Linked DNA regions of Caenorhabditis elegans. The protein of the gene in region 1 purifies or fractionates together with the protein of each later gene. This does not show direct contact. Each region holds a gene or a part of one and is shown in the gene's direction. Other genes may lie near its edges.

Region 1 (9,516 bases):
TGGTAAAACTAATACGTAGTACATATTTCAAAAAATATTTGCAATTTAATTGAAAGTTTGAACAAAAAAATTGAAACAGTTGAACACATCTAAGCTTTCGACACAGAATTCCAATAACTTGCGATTGCATTTTCATAATTTCGAGCTCCTTCTGATCCTGTCGATTTGATTTGAACTTTACTTTGAACATTATTTTGCCTTTTCAGATTCATAAAACTTAATGCCTTGATTCCAACAAAAACTATAGTTAGATTATATGTTGGTACACTGATGTAAACACCTCTGGCCACTGTGTAGTTGATATAACTACCAAAAAATGTTTCCCCAACAGTTCTTATGAAAATTGTTACACCAAGATACCATCCAATAAATAGAATATGTGTGAAACTAACAATAAGCGTGAATTTTGAAGTTTGGGATATTTCTTCTAGTTCATATCGTACAGACAAAGATCGTTGTTGATGGAGAAATCTTAATATAAAATTTCGAACACCTATTTTAGAATGAACTCACTTTGTTTTGAATTTGCTGTGAACCAGAAGAATTATGCAATTACAAAGTAAATTTCCAAGTTCCGCATATAGAAGAATCCAGCAATAACTATTAAACGTCTGTGCAGTAGTTGCAGGAATGAGAATAAATGAAATGAAACTATCATTAAAACTTTCGTCTCGAAAAACCGTAAAAAGTAATATCAGATCAATTCCAATCTGACAAATTTGTGTTATAACAAAAGTAAGATTTAAAACGTAACTTACCAATACAAAAATCAAAAGTGGTCCTAATACTGTACGAACATTTTCATAACTTTTAGCCATGCGTAACGCAATTATTCTTTCAATTGAAAATCCAAACGGCATTATCATTTGAAGAGTAATAAACAAAGTTAAGGATAATTGACCAACTTTAAATAAATATGGCTGAATTATTAAATCACATTTTGAGGTGATGAATAGTGGAACCAGTATGTGATAGCCCTGAAAAATTTAGAAAAACTTCACAAGAACTTGTGTTACTGTTGAGCCTCTTATTTGTTAAAACTATGGAACTATCATCAACTTACAAACGTTAGAGCCAGAACAACTGCGAACAAAAAAGCGGACAAAAAATAAGAAATTAACATAAATTTTATATTCCCATGAAATGGAAGTGGAAAAATTTGCTTCAATAGAAAAATAAAAAGTGCAGGAACTGCTAGAGTTGAAAAAATAAAAGTCCAGAATTGAGCAGCCCGATATAATGGATGATAGGTGACTTCGAAGGCCAAATCACATTTGTTTTCGATATTCATTTTCAATTTTTCAATGAAACGAAGAACAACAATAGCAACAATAAATATACAAATGCTTTGCTTTGAGCTGTTTTTAAACCAAAAATGTTTGCCAACTTCCGATTTAGAGCAAATTAATCAAAACGTATTGTACGGGAATAAGTATAAATTCTATTTCCAAAAATTCATACTATTTATTTTAGGAAATCTCAATAAATCAAAGTCAGCTGTTGATATTGAGCTAGAAGATTTTTTCAAGTCTGGGAGCTGCAGCTCACGTTCATGTCATATCTTAATTTAGTGATTTCTGTCATTCATTGCAAATTGAAAAAGAACAATATGAGTTCTTGGTAAATAATAAACACTGTAAAAAACTGCTGCAATAAAAAATGTAATTTTACAGACATCCCAATTGAAAACCTTGATTGTGGGAGATCTTTCTTCGGAATTCTTATGAAAAAAACAATATTGAAGTCGGATTCAGCATGTATTTATATCATGATAAAAAATAAGCAAAAAAGGGTGAAATCTCTCAGCTCAGTTATTTCGCAATGTGCGCTTTTGATATGCTAAAGCCAATTACAATAGTAGTTTTTCATTTTTTTAATGTCTGAAACTATAAAAATTAGGCGGGATACTCAGGCATTATTTCATATATGAAAAATCCGAAAAATTCAATTCAAATTTTTTCCTGAAATGTCGTGAGATTTTTTTGTATTAGAATAATAGTTTTTATACCCATTGTCCACAGTTTTTTACGGAATATTTTATTGAACCGTTGGAACAATAAAATAGCTATAGCTATCACATACATCGTTTTCGCTGCCATTTAACATTTAAAAATAAGAGTAATGTTGAATATTAGAAGGTTCATCTTCACTTATATTTTTATTCAAACATGTTTTCCCCTAGCAAATTCAGAAAACAAGTTAACGAGAGTGAATCGGTTTCAGTGAGCTTAAATTTGAGGAAATTAACTTTTCAGTAGTTTCAAAATTTTCAGAATTGTGAATCTACAACTTCAAACTCTCGCAGAATACTTGACCAACATGCGGGTTTACCAATTTCGTCAGCTTTTCGAACAGAAGCAAGTGATATTGGACACCATTTTTCAACCAAAATGTATTTTAAAAGTTATAGTTTATTGATTCATAAATAATGATTCATGTTTTTAGTTCTGTCACCGAACAATGTTTTTGCTTTAATGGGTGATAATGAGTTTAAAACCAGCTTCAAGGTGAGTGCTTTTTGGACATTCCAGATTTGATTCTTTTTTAGATATTCACAATTTTCGAGCCAACATCTACACCAAATGGAAAGATTCAATCATTGATTACAATCAGCTATAAGATCAATAATGTGCTATTTAAAATGGAAAAAGAAATTTTTATTGAAAAAGTAAACATATTTTCCTTGGAACTTCACATATTTAATTTCCAGAGCACAAACAGTTCGACTGGATTTGTATTTACAGGATTTAAATCTATATAATTTTCACATGAACCCTAATTGTCAAGTTTCAACAACTTTATAAAGTTAATATTCTACAAACCCCACTTCCTGTTCACTTACTTATGCAAATTCTCCTTCATTTCACCAGTTTCCTCTCGTTCGCACCCAATTACCAGCTGGCTCATTGCACAGGCAAATTGTGAGGTGTCCTCGACATCTTTTAAACTTAATTTCATATTCTCCAACTACTTGTCTTTAAGTTTAGGAATAAAACACTACTTTGAATTATGGAAGAGGTTAAAGCTGCTGTTAATGCTGTCGAAGAAGATCATGAAGAAATTGGTAATTCAGAAGTTGGGAAATTGTATCATTTTAACCATATTTAGGATCAAATCCCGCTTCGGAATCAATCCATCAATTAGATTTATCATCAGAAGCTCTGGTCACATCTACATTGAACATTCGTGGCAATAAAATAACAACAGTGAGTGAAAAAGATAGGGTTTCTGCAATTTTTTAAATTTTCGTTACAGACTCTACGTCCTCGAACTTCACCATATAAACGAGCGGGTGATGCTTCTATGTCGCGTGAGGATCTTCGGTCACCTGATTCAGTGAGCACATTTACAACGGTTTTACACGTATTCCATAAAGTTTTTCAGGTAGCCGCTACCTATACCATCCGTGAAAACCGCTCAGAGCGACAAACAAAAGTGAAGTTGGAAAGTTTGGAACGACGGCTCAAGGCGAATGAAAAAGCTCGGAAAGAGATTGAAGCTGAAGCTGAAAAATGGAAAGATCGGGCGACACGAAACTCGAAACGGCTCCCAGAATTAGAACTTGAACTGGCAGAAACTGTGCAAGCAAAAGAAGAATGGCAGGTTAAAAGTCAGGAAATGGAAATTCAAAATAAACAACTCGTTGAAGAACTGAATGAAGTTCAGAAAAAGCTAGAAGAAATTGAGAATTCACAAAAAACGTTTCATCAAAAGGTTGTCTCAACTCTCAATTTGGATGAAGAATACTTCCAAAACCCGGATGAAGAACAAGATGGAAGTCTAAGTCAATTCAACATGGACGTTTTGGAGCAAGAAATTGTGAAGTATCAAGAGAAATGCATAAGTTTGAAGCAGGAAAATGAGATTTTAAAAGAGAAATTGCAACAGGTTAGTTGAAATAATTAAATATTTTCTCTGATTGAGTATTTACTCAATAATAGCAATAAATAAATAAAACACCGGGCTTTATAAATGAATTTATTGTGCTTAAAATGTGCACCAAAAAAGTAAGCCGACTTGTCTCTTGCGCCATTTCTCTGTCCTGATCCAATCAGAATAGTGGGGCCATGTATCTGTTGAACTGTCCTCCAGTTTGACTTGAAGTGATTATTCCGTAGATAATGATGACGAACAGCATAATCATAGCAACGACTGAAAGTTTGAATTGATAAATTTTTAACTTTTTCTTGAAAACTAACTAATTCCCGCACAGAACATGGCTCCTTCCACTCGAAACAGAAAGTTTTGAGACTCGTACTTGTCTGCTTTTCGAACCTTCTTGGTCTTTCCCTTCTTCGCCTTCTTCTTGCTCTTCTTGTTCTTCTTTCCTTTCTTCTTTGTCTCCTTCTTTTCCAACTGTCCGAGCATGTCAAGCATTGCAGAAGATCCTCCTTTCTTCTTCTCATCTCCGACAGCAGTCCCTTGATCCGTGAATGAAACATTGTCGTCCGCCATTTCTCAATGTTTTTTGTTTCTCTGAAAATACAAGGATTAGTTTTTCTTTACTTCGGAGCACGAGTTAGCATCAAAGCCGGCCGCCATTGCACAGTGACAGCGCAACCCGCGAAACGACAGGAAGCAATAGGCAAAAGGCACGGCAGGCGACTTTCCTCCATGCCTTTACTCCAAAGACGCCATAATTGAAATAAATAACTCACCTTATAGGCTTCTCAGAGAAACCAGTTCCCAACGAAACTGTTGTTAAGGAATAAATTATGTTTGATTTTTTTTTATTGTATGATTTGTGAACAAAATAATTCAAAAAAAAACAAGGTTACGATTATAAGTGTTTCCACGTTTTAAAATTGACCTTTTCTGACTTTGAAGAAATTAATATTTTTCAATTTTTATTAAAATAATATATTCGTGAATTTTAAATTTTTATAAGATCAGGGTATATATTCTTTGAAATCTTGCAAATTCAATCAGTCTTCCTAGAAGCACCTTCCACCGTAGCGACAACATGTCTCGGCTTGAGCATCAGTGGCATTGGCTGGAGATATGGGAAAGTGAATGACAAGCTTGTCATCTTTTGGAGCACCAGCAGTACAAGTGATGACGACATCCGTGGTTCCAGATGGATCAATGAAACCGAACACCGGATGTGATACGGTGTTCAAAGACTACCAATCCACCAGCATGCACAGTGCCTGCCGCCGGAGGTACATCAACCCACAAGCTCGTCAATGGTGGAGCTGACAAGCTCATATTCATGAGCAAATCTGGTGCTCTAAAAGAGGACAAGCTTGTCATTCACTTTGCCAATGCACAAGCCGCCTTCGCAGCTGTTCAGCCGGCTGGAACTGTCACCATCCCAATACTTCTTGAACCTTTTGCTGAACAGAATAAAATAATGAATCCTTTTGAAAATGCATTCAATAAACTATTTGAAAAATTGTCTTAACAACTTAAGTTACAACTTAAGAATTTTACTTTTTGGGAATCATTAGGATAGGACCGGACAAAGTCGGACGTCCGGTGCCTGAATTTGCAATATTTTCCCAATAATTTTCAACGTACTTCCGGCTTATCAATCATATATTAGACCCTCAATCATATTTTCAATAGCTTCCAGAATCCAGATTGTGGAGAGTTTAGAACATTTATTTTTATGCTTTCTGCCAAGTGGCAATAAGCTAAGTCGAAAGTAAAAATGTTTCTTGCGATGCCTCCTCGAGTTTTCCTTGCTTGAGTATTCGGTATTTGGAGAATATAAGCCCGCTTCACCTCTTTCAGTGCTCCTCATCAGTTGCACAAGCCTGCTAGTGGAGGACAGATGATGCCAGGTTGTCCCATCACAAAAAAAAAACATTTTTCGAGATTTGTTTTTTCGAGATCCGCTACGTTTCTGTAGTGAGAAATTATTGTGTGAACATCTGAAAAATTACGAAATTCCAGATATGTGATCCATCAATTAAATATTTTCAGTTATCATCTTCATTGACTGTTAATCAGAACCATGTTTCCACCTTGATGGATCACTTGGAAATTAACAAAGAGCAGAGTAGAGAAATTCAAGGAATCTGCAAAAAAGTAAGTTGCTCAACTTAAGTAATTATTTCTATAACTAAATTTTAATTTTTCTAGGAAATAGCAATCCGCCAAGACCATGAAAATCGTATAAACCATGATGTCACTCTACTAAACTCTTTAATAAACGAGCAGAAAATGGAACTTGAAATGCTTAAAGCTGAAATTCGCTGCCTTCGTTCCTATTCTCAGGAAATGTCTCAATCTAATAAAAATAATATAATTCTTTTGAAATCTGCTGAAACCGAGCGAAAAAGTCTATTGGAAACTCTCACAGTTTTGTTGAATTCCGAAGAAGAGGCAACCGAAAATAATGTGAAAAGAACTATCCGAGATCTTGTCCGTGAACGAGATACTGAACAGACAAAACGATTTGAGGCTGAAAAGGCAGCATCAAATGCTGAAGGAGTTCTCTTGGAGCAGGCAAAACAACAAAGAAATGCTCTTTTTAGAGCAAGAGTTTCAGAAGAAGAATACTCAAAATCGATGGAGAAAATTGAGGAGCTTGAGCAAGAATTGTTGGCAAGTGATCTAGAACGGAAGAATTTGGAGCATAAAATTGCATCTCTAGAAAACTGTATTTCCAAAGTAAAATCTAGTTTTTTAGAAATATTTTCAATTGTTTAATTTCCAGGTATCTCAACTGTTAAATGTTAATGTTGGAGGCGTATTCGATGCAATTTTTGATCGAATTGAAGAACTTATTGCTCAAGAGTCTGTCTATCGAGTTGTAGTCAATGAGAATAGATTGATTGTGAGTTCTCCTTAAAACCAGTTAGCAATCTCTGGAAATTGTTACAATTTTCAGTCTGAAAACATTTTCCGTGGACTTCAAAGTGTGAGAAAAGATTTTCAATCAGGGAAAAGCGGTGGCGGTTCCGACAAAAAACAGCCAGCTTCGCCAGTGGCAGCTGCAGCAAAGATTATTCAAGTAGAAGTTTGATTTGGAAAAATATTAACTTATTGTTTTACAGGAGCGACATACTCTGAAAACAATTGATAAAATGGATAAATTGAATAAGGATCTTTTGGCAACAATGACCATTGAGACACTGAAAGCAGCGGATATTGAGAAGACCAATCTAAAGGTATGAAAAAAAGTGTTTTAACTTTTGCAAAACACAACAATTAGGAAAATTGTATTTCTCTGATTTGATTTTTTTTTAAATGAGCCGCAAATCACTGGGTGCGATCTTGTGTTTTTTTATTTGGCAAGTTGCCAAGTTTCTAAAACACTCTAGGATTTCCCTGTATCTAGTCAAAACATTTTTTTCTAGAATCCACTGTAAACCTCTAATTTCAGAAGCGAATGAACGAACAAGACGCTCGAATTCGTCAACTGGAACGAGAAAAGAAAGAAGGAGAACGAATCCGATCGATAATTGCGAAATGGGAAAAAAGAAACATCCCGAAAACCGAAAAATCGTCGCCCATGAAAAAAGTTCCACCGATTGAGAATTTTCGCGCCAAATCTCAAACTTCCATAACAGGATTGAGTCCTGTTTTGTAATTTTGCATTCAATTAATTTTTAACTTAACATTCATTTCTTCCAATATTAAATATTACAAAAGTAATTGCATAAATGAGAAGTTCAGTTGTATTTGTCTACTTTCCAAGCTTTGATTTGATCCAATCCATCACTCCTCCTGTAAATAAAACTTTAAAATCAATACAAATGTATTTGAATCTTTATTTTGCAATTTACAGTCACATATAGCACATTTTTAGGCGCACGTGCCTGCTTGATTTAAAAATTTTTCAGCTTTTGCAGTAGGCACGATTTTAGGCAGCAGGCATCTACGTGGAGGTACCATATTTTCTCTTAACTTTGACAGCTTATATCTCAATTGCAGTTTGTTCTAGTCAAAAACTGTCAACTGATAAAATATCTATTATTTATTTTTTATCGTTTTGCTGTTATTTCTAAAATGACATATTTGAAATGAACCGAGATTACCTTGCAAAGTTATATAGTGTGTCATATTACTGATAGAAGAAAAACGGTATGTAAAATAAAACCTTATACTTACCAGTCTTGTTTCCATTCTCTTGAACAACAGTTCCATTCATACCATCCATTGGTGGTCCCCCAGCTCGTGCTTCTAGCATTGTATCATTTCCCATATCTGTTCCATTTGGTGGAGGAGCTCCATGTTCTGGCTCGCCTGCATTCACAATGGTGAGGATAGCGACAATTAATAAAAAGAATCGGAAAAGCATTTCTTGTTGGATAATCTGAAATTTATCATTCAAAAAATGTGTTAAATCAAAGAAAAATGAATTTGAATCAGAAAAAAAAGAGAAAATTTAAACTAGAAAAGAGTCATGAATACTGTCGGCAAAATATTGTGAGGATGATCCGACTAGTTTCGATTTTATATCCGTGTCATTTACTCATTGGGGCGGAGGCCGAGGGGTTAACATTTTTTTCGTTAAAAACACAAATTTATATATGGGATCGACCAGAGTACAAGGACTGCGCACAATCATCGGGATATTCGGATTAAAATAATATGCGATACCAAACAGACTGAATCACTAAAATACGAATATACTGGAATGTTTTAAGAGATTTTCGAATTATTCATTTTCATTATGACTCTGAAAATGTCTTTCAAATATTTCAAATATATATAAATATTACATTGTCGTCTAAAAATGGAACTCTTCGCACTATCTTACGCGCAAAGGTCTCACCACAAAGACAATAAATTACTGTAATCGGTATTGAAGATTTTCGGAAAAGTATAATATATGATTTTGTATCGAAAATACGGTATCCGGTCTCGATACGACAATTTTTTTCAAACAAAAAAGGTCTGGGCCTTTAAAGGGTACTGTACTTTCAAAATTTCGTTGCTGCGAAATTTTCATCGATTTTCAACAATTGTTCGATACAATTGTTTTGAACCTAAAACAAAACAAGGAACGTTGACAAATCGTGCGAAGAACTAAGCAAAATCTATGAAAATTCCTTAGAAACGAAATTTCGAAACTACAGTACTGTTTAAAGGCGCACACCTTTTTGCATTATACAATACATTTGTCGTGTCGAGACCGGCGACCGTATTTTTGGTATATGGTATTCGTATTTGCATGCTACGAGTTTTTAAAAGACAACTTATAACCATTCCTGTTCCTAGGTTTTAACTGTTCATAATCAGCTCGTAGTTTTAGTTTAATTTCTCTAGTCGTGTTTAATGAAATACATTGCTCTCTGTAAATTTCTGGAATGTACAAGAAACCTCAGAAAAAAAATTTAAAATCAATAATTTATATCTATAACATTTGAGGGAGCAGAATGTGATGGAGTGGGTGGTTGTATTTTCATGAAAATTACATAAAAAGGAAGCATATAGATGGGTAATTATGCAAGGAGGTAGAATCAGTGTCCCAAGAAAGAGTAAAATCAACAAGAAGAAATTAATAGAAACCGATCAGTTGGAAAATTGAGTGAAAATGTTTTCTTTTGAAGAAATCATGTT
Region 2 (7,457 bases), on another chromosome or scaffold:
GTACGGAAGTATTTTTTAGAAAATTGATAAAAATATATAAAAGCTGATTTTTTCAAAAATTCAAAAGTATGGGAAAACCATATGGAGTCATTCTTTTTTATCTCAAAAAACTGTTCAGCATAGTCAAGAATACCAGAATATGCCTATCAAATTATAATAGTTTGTACGGAAGTATTTTTTAAAAAATTGATAAAAATATATAAAAGCTGATTTTTTCAAAAATTCAAAAGTATGGGAAAATCATATGGAGTCATTCTTTTTTATCTCAAAAAACTGTTCAGCATAGTCAAAAATACAAAAAAGAATGACTCCTTATGATTTTCCAGGACTTTTGAATTTTTGAAAAAATCAGCTTTTATAAATTTTTATAAATTTTTTAAAAAATACTTCCGTACTAGCTATTATACTTTGATTAGCATATTCTGGTATTTTTGACTATGCTGAACAGTTTTATGAAATAAAAAAGAGTAGCTGATGGTGGAACGAGTTGAGCAGTTTCTGGAACCAGGACAGGCTGTTGAACATCTGGAACTGTTGGAGCTGGAGCCGGAACTTCTGGCTGTTGCTCGATTTGAGCTGGTGTTGCAGCAGGAGCCGGAACAGTTGGTTGTTGCTCATCAGCGTTGGGATGAACTTCTTTTCTTAGTTTTTGTCCTAGTAGAACGAGTGCTTCTAGTACTTCATGTGCTTTTTGGAGCATCATTTTCATTATTTTGCAAGTAAAAATCGGTTAAATTTTCCTTTTTAATCCTTGAATTTTTATTCAGGAAATGGTTGTCATGGAAACAGATAAGCTTATATATTCATCACATTAAATTCAACTTTTAAATAGAAAATAATGCTTTTTATAGGTATTCATAGTCTACTTTTTCGCGAGAACTGGAGCAAAGTTGGTGGTGGGTTTTACTTTTTCTTAATTCAGAAAAAAAAATTTTCAGGTGTCGAATATGAGGGAAATCTGAAAATAAAAGTGGAAGTTGTTGGAAACAAAGCGAAATTATCGGAAAATGGTGAATTTTTGTATAAATTTTTAAATACTTTGTATAATAAAATGTGAATTTTTGGTACCGATGATTCAGATTCCGGGCAGATGAATTTTTAGCAGCTTCAGTATTGGGTTTTTGAGATTTGAGATGTTTCTGCCTTCTTCCTATATTATACTGTAGGAGTACTGTATGTGATAAACGGTAGGGTACTGTAGGTGGTAAACGGTAGGTGTACTGTAATTTTTTGTTCAAAAACTTTTTTTTTCCCTCTCATAACTTTGCCGTCGTTTGAGCTATTCTGATTCTGAGCCAAATATATGAAACCTTGAAGATTTCTTAAGCGAGAGACGAAAAAAATTTTGAAAATCGAGTCATACATCACAGAGATAATCGACCGAATAGAAAAATAATGCCTTTTTTGATTTTTGATTTTTCAACTTTGAGCGTTTGTTAATTGGTTTGTTTAAGTTTAATTTTAATTCTGTTTTTTTTAATAGACTCAGAATTTGACGCTGAATTCAAATATGTAAGATTTTTTTCCAGCTTTAAAAATGAAAAAGTTATGAAAAAAAACTAACATTTCATCTCCTCATCAAAGTTTTCGAAATATCTTTTATGTTTTTACATTTTCTTTTTAAAATTGAAAAATCTTTTCAGCATATTTCTTTCATCTTAGAGAAACTGAAAATTCAGCGCCCAGGGCGCTAAATAATTATTCAAAATTTTTAAATTAGAAACAACTCCTTAGCATATTCCATCAATCTTAGAAATAGTTCAAATCAGCGACGAAGGCGCTGAATAAGTCTTCAAAGTTTTAAATTAGAAACAACTCCTTAGTATGTTTCTTTATTTCAGAAACTTTGAAAAATTCAGCGCCGAAGGCGCTGATAACTCTTAGGAATTTTTGAATTTAGAACAACTCCTTAGAATATTTTTCTAATCTTAGAGAAGATTCAACTTAGCGCCCAAATAATTTTTAAGAATATTTCAATGTGAAACAACTCCTTAGAATATTTCTTTAATCTTAGAGGAACTGAAAACTAAAGCGCCGGAGCCGCTAAATGATTTTTCAAAATATTAAATTAGAAACAAATCTTTGGAATATATTTTGAATTTCAAGGTGAACACACTTAACCCCAACACAGGTTTGAGGCAAAGCCGAGAACCTGCGCCAGCTACCTTGTTGATACTTTAGAGCGAAATAACCCTATCCCCACTCCCGAAGGGATAGCGCACTTTGTGCGCTAGTCTTAAAAATTTTTTTTTTAATTGAAGGTTTACAAACAAATTTGAACTTTTAAAAAGCTTTGCTATGTAGGAAAAAGGATACTCAATTCAAGAAATGGTATGTAGAAAAATCGATTTAAAAAAAGTTTTTTGATTTTTGATTTTTAATTTTAAAAGTTTAGTCCCAATAATTCAATAAAGTTTTTCCAGAAATAGAGCAAATTCGAAAAATAGCTGAGCTAATGGGCAATCCAACGGAACCGGACGAAGTTTCGGATGAAAAAGACGATAGTTCTGAATCAGACTACTAGTTGCTGAAAAAATAATTTATAAGTTTATTTTAGTCACATTGTTGATAGTTATAAATATTTTTTTGAAATAAAAAAAACCAAAAATGTGTTTTTTGCACTGAAAATGTTGCGTTGGCTCAGTTGCAGGGTAAACCCATCAATTCATAACTTCAGCAAGAAGTCCAAATTGTGTTAAGTTCGAGATCCCTTTAGAAAGCAATCTTGCACTTATTTTACTTTTTCTTAAATCTACAGTTCAAATTATTAAACAAAAATATCTGAAATCAAGAAAAGTTTATCTTCACGGATGCTGAAAGTTTATAGACTTGTGGAAGTGTTCTATGATCACTTCTCATGTTGCACTGAGTGGACTTTGGAGACGTGCATAAAGCGCATGACTCTAACGCCCACGCGGCCTCTGAGCAGGGAGCGTCACGCCCTCACGAGTATATAAGCCGACTAGAGAATAACATCCTCAGTCGAGAAAGACCTTGCCTGCTGGCGCCGGACGAAAGTAAGACTCTCGTCGTCTGGCACAGCAACGACTCAATAAATGCTTTAGCACACAATCAAAGTGTTTTTGCATGATGTTTAACCATAAGCTGTGGCACCGGTTTATGACCGTTAACAGACTCCTCCAGTATATAAGGTTGTCCAAACAACTTAATTTTTCATATTTTGTGCAACACTATCTTGCTGAAATGAAAGAAACCGGCCCGTGTTGTTACATTCTGCTCATTTTAATTTTTCCGCCAATCGCCGTCTACGTGAAAGAGGAAAGATGCTCTCTGTCAGTTTGGCTCAACCTTTGTTTCTGCATCCTCTGCTGGTTTCCGGGGGTGCTTCATGCTATAGTCGTCTGTTTCTGCTTGAATTATTTATTTTATTTACTTACTATCAAGAAATGAATTCTTGAGATTAATTTATTTAGAAGAATATAATACTGAATTACAATTAAAGAGAAGAAAAGGGGAAGATAGCGGTCTACATCTAGAAAGGAAGCATTGGTATTATATAATATAATATAAAAGAAGGAACTTATATAGGTCTGTTTTTAATCGAATTATAATGATATTGGGGTTGGCGTGAATCATATGAATAGGAAAAGAAGGGAAACGTTTTGGTTTGAATCATAAGGATCAAATATCATATTCAAAGAGGGAAAGATTTGACACTTACATACAATTAGATTAATTTTTCCATGTACAGATTATCTCAGACCACAGGATATGTAGTTGCTGACTAACATTTCACTGCTAATGTGTAAGCGGCCACTGATTGAATATTGTGGGAGAATTAAAATTTGGACTCTGAATGAAATTGCTTCATAATAAAGCAAAAAGTTATCCAAATTTCTATATTTATCATGTTTTTGGATACTGTAGTTAAAAGGTATAAACGCTTTATATTATATTTTAGTTTTCAAAATACATATATAGGGAAAGCCTCATGCAAATTTGTCTAGAAAAATGATTTGAAATTGTTCAAGAAGTATGAAAATGTTAAAAAGCGTACAGTTAAACAAATTTAAGATTTTGGAATTTGTCAATCAGTAGGTTTATATTAATCTTAAAAATGATAAAATCTGCAAACCCGGATTTTAAAATAATATAATAAAAAAATAATAAAAATTTTAAATAATATAATACATAAAACTATAGAACAATTTCCAGAGAACTGTTTAGATTTTTTGTTGAATAGAAAGTTTCCACAGAAAATTTCAAAAACCGCCTTTGGAGCAATTTAACTGGTAAAACACGGAGCTAATAGTAAGCAAAAATTTCAAATTTTTTCACAAAATTTCAATCACAAATATTTTCTAAAAAATGTTAAAAATAAAACAAAAAATTACTAATTTAAATTGCTTTGTTACGTGACACATTTTATGATGACAAACATACTTGTTTATCAGACATGAAATCTCAATCTCAGTTATTTTATATTTTTAATGGCAAACAAGAAGAGTACGAGTAGCTGCTATGAAAAGCCAATCGCTCAGAAATTATTTTATGGATTAGCTGTAAGTTTTTGGATGCCTCCGAAACCGAAATCCGAAACCGAAAAAAAAAGAGAGTTTTCAGGACCATCCAAATCACGGTGTATTTTCGTCGATTCTGAAGAAAAAGAATCGCTTGTTTTCGATGACTGATGACGTGAAGAAGCTTTGCAATCAAGTTGAAGCTTATAAAGAAGCCGCAGATCGACTTCATCAGGCACTGATTCAAATGTTCGTTGAGAATCAGGAACTTATGAAAGCTGATACGAATTATCAGTACGCTGGGCAGTATCTAAAGACGTATCAGGCGATAAATCAGAAAGGAAGAAAGTTGGGTACGAAGGTTGACCCCAAAGAAATGGATGTGAGTTTAGTTGCAGAATTGATCAGAAAAGTGACGCGACATTCAGTTTCTAGAGCGAATCCTGTTGAAAATCGAGGAAGTTGGAACGACTTTTTTGCACCTAAGAAATTTGGTATATTTTCTAGGCTTGGATTTTTAGGCTTAACAATTTAGGCTAAGGGCTTTTAAATGTTAAAATGTAGGCTTAGGCTTTTCAAATAAACCATTTAAGCCCAGGTAATCAGGCTTAGGCTCCCCAATTTTTTGGCTTATGGAATGGCACCTGATAATAAGGACACAAATTTCAGAGCTTAGAACCGGCTATCCAAACCTTGCTCAATCTGGATTCCATACAAGCAAAGCAAGTCCAAAGGCATCTGGAAAACTTGTCGGCGTTGACAAAATTCATTGGCGTCGACTATTGGGAGTACGCAAGGCTTCGAAAGAGTAAGAATAAAAGGGTCTATAATATGAATCTAAATAAAAAATTTCAGTTTATTGGCTCTCGCTGGAAACCTACGACGACGCAATCAGTCAGCAGAATAAGGAGCGAACGGAGCAAGCCGAACTCGCGGCGGGAAATGCTCAGACATGGAGGAATGAGTGCAGACAGAAGGTTATTGACTTTATCAATAAGTCGATTAATGAGCAGAAGGGGAAACACGCGGATGCAGTTTTGAAGTAAGTTTTGGAACTACTCCCCGAAAAAAAAAAATTTTAAGGTTTCGTGACGATTCAATTCTCTTCCACAAATCCATTGCTGAAGCTATCCCAATATTTGATGATAGAGCACTGCCAAAGAGTAAAGAAAAGCCATTGAAATCCAAATGAAACTTGTCCGAATAAAGAATTATGTGATTTTTATTGCTTGCAACTTCAAATGTGTTATATTTGATTTTAGTCATCAGTTTACAGCCACATCAGCCACAAGGCACCCCTGATTCCACCAAAAGGTGCGCGGCGATTGCCGACGGGTAATTCTACAATTTCAGGCAGAGATGTGTTTTCCCAATATTTTTCATTAAATTTTAGTGAAAAGATGTAGAAACTATGTGATCTCTCCCATAATAACGCAATTGCCGCGCAACCCGGATTCTATCCCTCTCCATCGCCTCAACATTCGCCCGCTATTTCACTTTTTTCGAATGGCATTTTGGAAACGTTTTTTGAATAGCTAAGGTTGCTATGGGGTGGCTCATCACGTCCCACACAACACCCCTAGCTTTAACAATAAATTTACGCTGAAAACAGAACAGAAATGAATCACATTTTATTCTCTCAAGTGCTATAGTCTACTTCAGTGCTTCAACCTTCTCGACATTATTTCTCCTTTTTTCCATCTTTCTTCTTATCCAATTTGTTTGACTTGCAAGCGACTGGTTCCTGCAGAGTTTCTCGAATTTCAGCCAATTTTTGTAGTCCCGCTTTGTACCAGTGTTCTCTTCTGTCATCTGGACAAGTCAATCGCGTAGATGTATAGAATTTCTGGAAAATGTCGTGATTCTCAATCCAAGATTTCATCCATGCAGTTTCCAACGCAGCGATCGGGATCATTGTGAACGTGTTTTCCTGGAAATTATAAATGAAATCCAGAACTAGGAACCGCAATAGACTTGATAGTAAAACTCCAGTAATAGGACTCATTTCAAAAAAATGTTGAACTTACATCTGCAACCAACTTCAAGCAAACATAGAGTGCAAACTCAATCTGTGCAGTCGCTACCAAATCAATTGATCTTGTTTTCTGAGTTCCCATCCAAGATCCAGCGATCGGAAGCATCGAGTCCAAATTCAGGGAGCTTCCCATGATGTGCATCAATGTGTCAATCACTGAAAAATCATTTCATAGATAGGTACTAAAAGGAAAAAAAGTTCCCGGCTTCCCTACCTCTCACCCGGAAAATTCAATAAATGAGAAATCAGTAAAGACGAGAAAAATTATATAAAGAGCAATTGGCTAATAAATCATTTTTCTAATATTTCAAGTGTTTTCAACCTTGCATCTCATTTTTCCGGAGCCGTTAAATAAAACTAACATGGTAAAATAGTCGCTCTTGTATCAACATTTCCCGCAACAATTCCTACATTAGCATACTCGTTATCACTGGACGTTGATTCATACATCTTCGCAAACGGAACTAAATTAAATGAAACAAATCCATGTGGCATATTCTCACACTTCCAGTAGAGGAAACTATGATTACTAAAATTTGAATTAGGAATTTGTGAATATTGTTGGAAAAATGTACACACTCTTCAATCCTTCGAACTTTATACACTGATAAACCGGGAATTTTCGATTTCAATTGTTTTGACGTGTAAATCAATTGTCCACGTTCCTTCACTTCTAGCGATAGTTCAGGGCAACCTTCTTCTGAAAACAATTCAATTCAATTATTTATAAGCCTAAGTCTAAGTCTAAGCTTATAAGCCAAAACAGGACTTACCACCGCGTAAATTGGTCAACTCAATAACAACCCGACACTTCAATCGAACCATCCAATCAAATATTTTCCTCGTCTGCGTATTAGTATTCATAATACACCATTTTCTGGAATTCGGTGCTTCAATGATTGCAGAATGGCAATATTCGTCAGTTCCTTTCTCCTGTTCAG

The links.
Region 2: the proteins of C27D6.1 (region 1) and Y37F4.1 fractionate together in Caenorhabditis elegans (co-fractionation; one large-scale study listed by BioGRID). This does not show direct contact.

What each region holds. Positions count from the first base shown.
Region 1 is NC_003280.10:5,169,742-5,179,257, forward strand, and holds C27D6.1 (uncharacterized protein), read left to right. Parts: upstream 1-3,009; coding exon 3,010-3,064; intron 3,065-3,108; coding exon 3,109-3,206; intron 3,207-3,255; coding exon 3,256-3,336; intron 3,337-3,384; coding exon 3,385-3,888; intron 3,889-3,968; exon of another isoform or gene 3,969-4,051; coding exon of another isoform or gene 4,052-4,152; intron 4,153-4,199; coding exon of another isoform or gene 4,200-4,455; exon of another isoform or gene 4,456-4,476; intron 4,477-4,658; exon of another isoform or gene 4,659-4,699; intron 4,700-5,928; coding exon 5,929-6,033; intron 6,034-6,087; coding exon 6,088-6,618; intron 6,619-6,664; coding exon 6,665-6,784; intron 6,785-6,838; coding exon 6,839-6,961; intron 6,962-7,004; coding exon 7,005-7,118; intron 7,119-7,333; coding exon 7,334-7,540; 3' UTR 7,541-7,636; coding exon of another isoform or gene 7,637-7,677; 3' UTR 7,678-7,699; downstream 7,700-9,516. Other genes in the region: srb-1 (Serpentine receptor class beta-1), read right to left, coding at 90-471, 514-710, 759-977, 1,064-1,291; C27D6.15 (uncharacterized protein), read left to right, coding at 2,169-2,222, 2,274-2,403, 2,446-2,507, 2,549-2,761; C27D6.3 (uncharacterized protein), read right to left, coding at 4,052-4,152, 4,200-4,455; pugs-1 (uncharacterized protein), read right to left, coding at 7,637-7,677, 8,062-8,251.
Region 2 is NC_003279.8:10,855,097-10,862,553, forward strand, and holds Y37F4.1 (BAR domain-containing protein), read left to right. Parts: upstream 1-2,990; 5' UTR 2,991-3,549; intron 3,550-3,712; 5' UTR 3,713-3,895; intron 3,896-4,415; 5' UTR 4,416-4,451; coding exon 4,452-4,523; intron 4,524-4,584; coding exon 4,585-4,863; intron 4,864-5,150; coding exon 5,151-5,289; intron 5,290-5,336; coding exon 5,337-5,523; intron 5,524-5,564; coding exon 5,565-5,673; 3' UTR 5,674-5,702; downstream 5,703-7,457. Other genes in the region: Y37F4.4 (Signal recognition particle-docking protein FtsY), read right to left, coding at 413-703; Y37F4.2 (Sec-independent protein translocase protein TatA), read left to right, coding at 839-896, 939-1,010, 2,424-2,524; Y37F4.5 (START domain-containing protein), read right to left, coding at 6,163-6,411, 6,509-6,672, 6,879-7,045, 7,096-7,216, 7,290-7,457.